2 linked regions of the Rattus norvegicus genome follow. The protein of the gene in region 1 purifies or fractionates together with the protein of each later gene. This does not show direct contact. Links are inferred from orthologs where the notes say so. Each region holds a gene or a part of one and is shown on either strand. Other genes may lie near its edges.

Region 1 (3,560 bases):
GGTTATGGCAGGACACTTGGGGCTCTCCTCTAGCCTCTGTGTGAACAGACATGGCCGCATACATACTCTGCATACACCACACGCTCGCACTCTACATCATACACACATATACATATATCAAAGCAGAATGACACAAAGCCCCCTGAGTCAGGAAACTGGCCTCTTCTTTTCCTGGCCACCCTGGCTCTTACAAATAGAAAGAAGCAGACAGGTTGCCTACATAGTTTGTGTATTAGCAGAACACAGAGAGTGTAGCCATGTGCAGCCTGTGCTTGACAGAGTCTCCACTGCGATCTAAGCAGACGATTAAATGGCTGTGGGTTTTCTGTTTGTTTGTTGAGGCAGGGTTTCTCTGTATAGCCCTGGCTATCCTGGAACTCGCTCTGTAGACCAAGCGGGAGTGCTGGGATTAAAGGTGTGCACCACCACCTCCTGTCAATGGCTGTGTTTTTAAAAAGATTCTGGATTTGTCTAAAATTAAACATAGGCTAGACTTGGCAGCACATGCCTGTAATCATAGCCCTTAGGAAGCAAAAATCAGGAGGACCACAGGTTTGAGACCAGGTAGGCTACCTAGTGAAATCCTATCTCAAAACTGCTACCTACCACCTAACTAAACGGATGAAAGTGAAAAAGTAAAACGTATAAAAATGATGTAGAAATAGAACCATAGAGTTCTCATACAGTTATTCACATTCACTTGTAAAATCATCTTACATTTTTTAACCTTTATAAGAGACTAGAATGTTGTTTTCTAAAAAGACAAATCTCAAATGCAGTATCAACTTTCTCTCTTTACAGCAATCCTTCCCAAAGAAGTTTCCCATGTCCCAGTCAGTGCCTCTTATTTATATTCAAGTTAAAGAATTTATTTATGCCAGTCTTAAATTCTCAGAGTCACTACACCGAAGGTAAGCTTACTCACATGAAATCTGCTTTTTAGGAGACATTGACACTTTATTTCTAGACCCTGACCCTTCAGTGGACTGTCGTGGACTGTCGTCTCACTGGAGTCGGGCTAACTATGTCTCGTCTTTAACTTCTGGTTAAATTAGTGTTGAGACTCGTATGCTCGTATGCTATATATGATTTGGTTCTTTTTTTTTTTTTTTTCGGAGCTGGGGACCAAACCCAGGGCCTTGCGCTTCCTAGGCAAGCGCTCTAACCACTGAGCTAAATCCCTAACCCCGCTATATATGATTTGATAGGAAGGGTCTTCGCCCCAGCGTCTAGATTTAACAGTAATAAATATTTCGCCATATATTCTTTCCCTATTTATTATTGTTAGTGGTATTTTATCCCGTGGCTAAGGATGTTTTGCCTACACGTATGTCTTTGCATTATGTGTGTGCCTGGTGCCTATGAAGTCCAGAAGAGGACACTGGGTCCCGTGGAGCTAGAGTTAATGCAGCTGTGAGCCACCATGTGGGTGCTGGGAATTGAACTTGAGTCCCCTGGAAGAGCAAACATTGATCTTGACCACTGACCCATCGCCTTGGCACCTTTGTCCATTATGTTTTATTAAGACATTCGAAAGAAAATTTCAGAAGTCATGACCTTTAACCTTAACTGTGCAGCACTCACTCCACACTGTGCTCCACACGGTGCTACCAGTTACTTAAAACCACAGCGCTAAGTCTGAAACATTAATGGCTTTAATATTGTGTGCCTTGGTAATTTGAATGTTTTTACAAATACTTATGTCTAAGCTAAATGTTGGTTCTTTTTTTTTTTTTTTTTTGAGCTGGGGACCGAACCCAGGGCTTTGCGCTTCCTAGGTAAGCGCTCTACCACTGAGCTAAATCCCCAGCCCCTAAATGTTGGTTCTTAAAATACAGAAATTCACATTCAATTAACATACTGTTAAATTTGGAGAAAGTATAGAAATTTAACGTTTCGGAATGACCTTTATATGAAGGCTGTTAACATTTTACCGTTGTTTAAGGCAGGAGTTCTAATGGGGTAATTTTGGTTTTCTTTGCTGCCCACTGTCCCCTACAATTGGCAGTGCCTAGAGACTTGGTTATCCCAGCTGTGGGTAGGAGTTCTCCCTGGAATGAGCAGGTAAGGACCAGAGGTGCTGCAGAATGTAGCGCACAGCACATGCTCTGGCATTCATGTGGCATCATATGCCCAGGCAAGCACTTCACCCTGAGTGCACCCCTAGGCTGTCGCCTTATTTTAAAAGTGACTTTTAGCTATGACTGTGTATAAAGTACTTCACAAAGTGACTATTCCACAATGGAATTATAATAGTGCTTTGTATAATGAACCTCATTTTTTTTTGTCTCAATTGACTTGATAATTTAAATTGTCATAAGTGAACATTCTGTTTTATGGGAAATGATCCCCCTTAAAATGAAATTGAAGTTTGTAGCTTAATGAGTTACTGTCATTCATAAAGAATAAACCAGAGGGACACATGATTTATATATGATGTAAAAGATAGGACAGAAAATTACTTTAGTGAGATACATTACATTATAGAGAGTGTATGACTGATTTCACTCTTAGAAAGCTTTATCCATGTGGATGTTTGTTTTTAGCTCTACAGAAATAGACGATATGCTTAGGAAGTCAACAAATCTGCTGCTGACCAGGATTCTGAGTAGCTGCTTACTGAACCTCATTAGAAAACCTCACATAGGTTTGACAGAGGTAAGAAGAAATAATGACCCGATGTTTTGCTGTGAAAGAATTGGGGCTGGAGAGATGGCTCAGAGGTGGCACACACGGCTTTTGCAGGAGGCCTGGGTTAGACTTCAGCACACACACAGCAGCTCAGAACCATCTGTAGCCAGTTTCAGGGTATCTGATAACTCCTTCTGGCTTCTGTGGGCCCCAGGCACACTACATATGTCATGCACAGGCACACATGCAGAGAAAACACCCATACACATAAAATAACAAAAAATTATAAATTGCTGTAAAATATTCTGTAGAGTAGCTTTGCACTTACAGTTTATTAAGGTAAAAAGACTTTCAAAAAGTAAAAGCATCAATCCAAGAACTGAGAGAGAGGAGCTAGGGGGATGGCTGGATGGTTAAGAGCACTGCTGTCCTTGCAGAAGACCCGGTTCACTTCCAGGCACTGAAATGGCAGCTAACCATATCCGTAGCTCCAGATCCAGGTGATGTGACCCCCTTTTCTGGCCTAATGTGCACGGTGTACAAGCCTACATGCAAATAAGACACATATATTTTTAAAAAATCAAGAAACGTGAGGGAAAAGCTTCCCTGGGGCATAGTAGACAGCTGGAGGTTTGAAGGGCGTAGACCTCAGACTTCACAGACAGTTGGGATCCTCAATTTGTACTTGTTACGTGTATGAGACCCACAGTTGCCATGGAAGGTCATTTCAAAATAATTGGCTGTGGACTCATAAAATGTAAATATTTTTAAGACAACATAAATGCCCGCAAGCAGTATTTAGGGCAGAGTTTTGAAATCAGTTGTATCTCGTCTTGCTGGAATTATGCAGAAGTAACAGAGGCAGGCTGGAAGTAATGACGGAGTTTTTTAGAATCAGGCGGTCCTGTACCGGTGTGACCTGTATTTAC
Region 2 (4,006 bases), on another chromosome or scaffold:
GAAGAGTCTGGGGCCCACTTACTCAAATTTATCCCAAGCCAACTCATTTCTTCCCAATTTGGCTTGCTTCTTGAGTACATGACACAGGGGCGCTACACAGCAATGACCGTTCAGAAGCCATTTTGTTGAACTGGAATGCTTCACAACTTAAACCCTGTGGACTTGCATATTTTTCTAGGCAGCACAGAAGTGCAATGTTCCAGGATGTGCTACTGTGACAAGTGTGTTTCAGGTTAAAGAGTGACCTGAAATGCTGCTGTGACCATACACTCCTTAAAGAGTTTAAAAAAAAAAAAAAGCACAGTATGTGCTCTAATAATCCCTCTATGTGGGAGGGAGCACTTAACACATTATCTTTCTTCTTTTGACTGCATTTTTAAGAGGGCACTTTTATATGCTGTTTGTGTCTGAGGAATGTGTTGATATTGTGTAATGTGAATACAAACAATGCATCTGTAGTACATGTGTGTGTACAGACATACATACATACATACAGACAGACAGACAGACAGACAGACAGACGCACACACAGCATCGAACCAGAGCCTCAGACCACAGACGTGGTGCTCTCAGGATTCACCCGCAGGAGTCTCGATGCATTCCGAAGGTCCTGCAGCTGCTTGGCAGGCTTCCCCACACCTTCCTCAAACCTCCTCTCCACCACTGGGAGGACAGTGTCGTAAAGGAAGGATGCGTTCTGCCGGATGAAAGTCTTCTTCTCTGGGTCCTGCTCACAGCGCAGGCTGTAGTCCACATGCTGCACAGCAACCAGTATGACTTCCACCAGACTCTCCAGGAGCACCATGTGTAGCTCTGGGAAGTACAGTTTCAGTGCCTCCTCCAGGAAGCCCATGGTCTGCTTGGTGAAGGCTACCACAGTGTAGCTCAGGTTCACCCAGCAGTCATCCCCCGTATACTGCTCAAAGTTACTGACCCCGCAACTTCTCATCTCCTCCTTGAGCTTGCCCAGGGCCTCAGGAGTCATCAGGTTCATCCGACGCCACATCTCCTCCGAGTTTCGGTGCTTGGTGGCTTCAATGATAATCTCCTTGTAACTGAGCAAGGCCCCCTGGATGTCCTTCACCAGGAGGGCATGGATGATGAAGGTGAGATCCAGCCCAATCTCTCCCAGCTGCTGGCAGTGCTCCTTGGCTACCTTCACACACTCGGCAGCAGTGGACAGGCTCTCCTTGCTGTCAAAAACCTGCTTGCTGAAAGCATCCACGAACATGCCCATGGCAGACCTTGCCCAGACCACAAAGGCAGAGTAGCAGCCACTGTCCGTGCCTGCAAAGTCTGTCTCAAACTCCCGTGCAGTCTCTAGGAGGCTGGTAAAGAAGACATGGCACAGCTTGTGAATATAGAGCAGAGTGGCGCCCTCAATTCGAAGCTGGCGGATGGCAGTATGCACAGCTGCCGCCCTGTTCCTCAGAAACAGCTCACAAGCCTTAGTGCACTGGCCGAGACGGATCAGTTGAGACACTGCCCTTCGAGTAGCCTTAGGGCCACCTCTCAGAGAGCGATCCGGGGAGAGCTCAAACACAAGCACCTCGGTGAGCTGTCGCACTCGTTCATCCACTTTGGCCCTCAGCTCTTTCACAGAAGGTGGGCTGGGCTTATCTTCAAGATAGTGATTTAATTTGTCCAGCAAGTCCACGGCACCCTCAAAGTCCCTCTGCGCAATACAAACATCCAGGTCTTCCGGCAACTCCTGGATCCACTCCATGGAAAGGTCAACCTTTTCCTCCTCTGCCTCCGGGGTGGCCAGTTCCTCCTCGGCCTCATCCTCAAACGGGTTGCTGCCCTTGGAAGTGACCGGTGGTGGCGCACGCAAGGCGGCTGCCTCCTCCTGCTCCCGTCTCCTCTTGTCGCTGAGCGCCCTCTTGGTTTCCTCCAGCACTTCCAGCCACTCGCGTTTAATCTTGGCATTTTCCGCTTGAAAGATTCGGCTCTCAGGGAACATGAGCAGCTTGAACATGTCTTTCATAGGTGGATTGTCTTTGACGTTGACCACAGCCAGGCGGTCCAGTGGGTAGAGTGCGTTGTAGCGGTACATGCCTCGCCGTTGTGGTAGCCAAGTGGCCACCAGCAGACAGTCGTTCATGAGGAAGCCATGCACTCGCTGCAGCTGGGCCATATGGTCTGCCTCGTATTCCACCAGGTCCCCGTTGTACACAAGGTACTGACCTGGTGTCTCCAGCAGGTCCCTGCAGCCCTCCACCTTCTCCAGCAGCGTGGTGAGCGTTCGCTGCTTGCCCTCCTCTCCCGTCCCGGGGCCCTCGCGAGGGACTCCGGCCGGCCCCGGAAGAAAGCCCGCCTGGGCCGCCCCGCGCTCCCGCGGTCCCGCGCCCGCCGTGTCCTCACCCGTGGATGCGCCCGCGGCAGCGGCGGGCAGCAGTGCCAGCGGGATGCTCTCCAGACTGCTCTTCTGCTCCGTCAGCAGGTGGCTCAGCTGGTACATCTCGCTCTCCAGGTAGGAGATCTCGCGCGCCGTCTCGATGAACTGCCGGTAGTTCTGGTAGACGTTGCGCTTCAGGTTCTGCGCCGTCTCCTCCGCCAGCGCCTGCACCCGCTGTCGGTGCTCCTGCAGGTCGCGGTCGCCGTCCGACTGCTGCGACAGTTGCTTCACGTACAGCCGCGCCTCGAAGCCCCCCGACTCCAGCTGCCTCCGCAGGCGGCTCGCCCCGCTGTCCGACATGGCTGCCACCCGCCCTGCTCCCGCGGCCCGCAGTGGCTGTCACTCGCCGCCTCCCGGCCCCACCCGAGCCCGGTGGAGAAGCGGTAGAGGAAGCGGGGCGGGAGCAACACCCAAACGCCTGCGCCGGGGCCGAGCGCTGCATTGCGCCTGTGCCAAAGTCGAGACTCTCACACTGCGCCTGCGCCCGGGGCGGAGTGTCGACGACGCGCCTGCGCGGAAACGGCAGCGTCTTAAGGCGCGTGCGCGGACGGGCCAGTACGGAAGTCAGAGGAGGGTCGGGCACGGACCAGACTTGACGTGAGGCGCTGGACCTCGGCGGCGGTCTGGAGACAACTGGCTTCCTGAAGCCGTCCCTACCCCGAGCCCAGCGTTCCTAAGTCTGTGTCCGCGGGGCAGAGCCGAGCCACCTTCGGTTAGGCGTTCGAGGCGAGCCCGCGCGCCCTGACAGCGGGGCCGGGAGGTCTCGCGAGATCCGTACGCCTCACGAGCCCGACCGGCGTCTTGGGAGCGGCTGAAGTGAGAGTATCGGGATGGACGAGGATCTGGTGGTCGCGCTGCGGCTGCAGGAGGAGTGGGACGTGCAGGCGGCGCGGCGCGCGGCGGCGCGGGAGCCCCTATCGTTGGTGGACGCGTCCTGGGAGCTGGTGGACCCCACCCCGGACCTGCAGGCGCTCTTCCTGCAGTTTAACGATCGCTTCTTCTGGGGTCAGCTGGAGGCCGTGGAGGTGAAGTGGAGTGTGCGCATGACACTGTGAGTGCGCCCACGAACGGCTCGGAACGTAGGGAAGGGCAAGGGCGCTGAGTTGTCGTTGGTGTGTCCCCTCCTCGTGGCCCAACGGCTCTCAGAGATGTACCAGCAGGATCCCTCATCTACCCACTGAGTTTGAGAAATCCTGTTCTAGATAATAATCTGCCCTGCATATACACCGTCACATAGCAGCCTGAGCTGAAGCAGGCTGAGACGTAGCGTACTTCTAACTTCACATCGGCCCCGTGACAAGTCCCGGTGCGGAGCAGAGAGGATAACAGTGGGTGAGGGTGTGAGGGTGATCAAGTGTTATTAAAAAGCCCTCTATCAGGGACTTTCGTTGAACTGCCCAAGGATAAGGATTTGCTGGCTCTTTTTTTTTTTTTTTTTTTTTTGGAGACAGGGTCTCACTATGTATCTGTGGCTGCCCTGGAATTCACTCTGTAGACCAGGCTGGCCCGGAACTGGGAGATCCTCCTGCATCTGCCTCCCACGGACTAGGATGAAAGGCCTGCGCCACCATGCCAGGCGAGGGTTTGTTTTTTGTTCTGTCTCCTTTG

The links. The genes of interacting proteins can lie anywhere in the genome.
Region 2: the proteins of Exoc6 (region 1) and Exoc8 purify together in Homo sapiens (affinity purification with mass spectrometry; 4 studies listed by BioGRID and IntAct, counting the BioPlex papers as one, with this or other methods). This does not show direct contact. The link is inferred for Rattus norvegicus from reciprocal best matches to the Homo sapiens genes EXOC6 and EXOC8.

The regions. Positions count from the first base shown.
Region 1 is NC_086019.1:244,785,032-244,788,591, forward strand, and holds part of Exoc6 (exocyst complex component 6), read left to right. Parts: intron 1-801; coding exon 802-911; intron 912-2,546; coding exon 2,547-2,658; intron 2,659-3,560. UniProt on the Homo sapiens protein: Component of the exocyst complex involved in the docking of exocytic vesicles with fusion sites on the plasma membrane.
Region 2 is NC_086037.1:69,752,025-69,756,030, forward strand, and holds Exoc8 (exocyst complex component 8), read right to left. Parts: upstream 2,853-4,006; 5' UTR 2,699-2,852; coding exon 548-2,698; 3' UTR 363-547; downstream 1-362. Other genes in the region: DNA-dependent metalloprotease SPRTN, read left to right, coding at 3,229-3,449. UniProt on the Homo sapiens protein: Component of the exocyst complex involved in the docking of exocytic vesicles with fusion sites on the plasma membrane.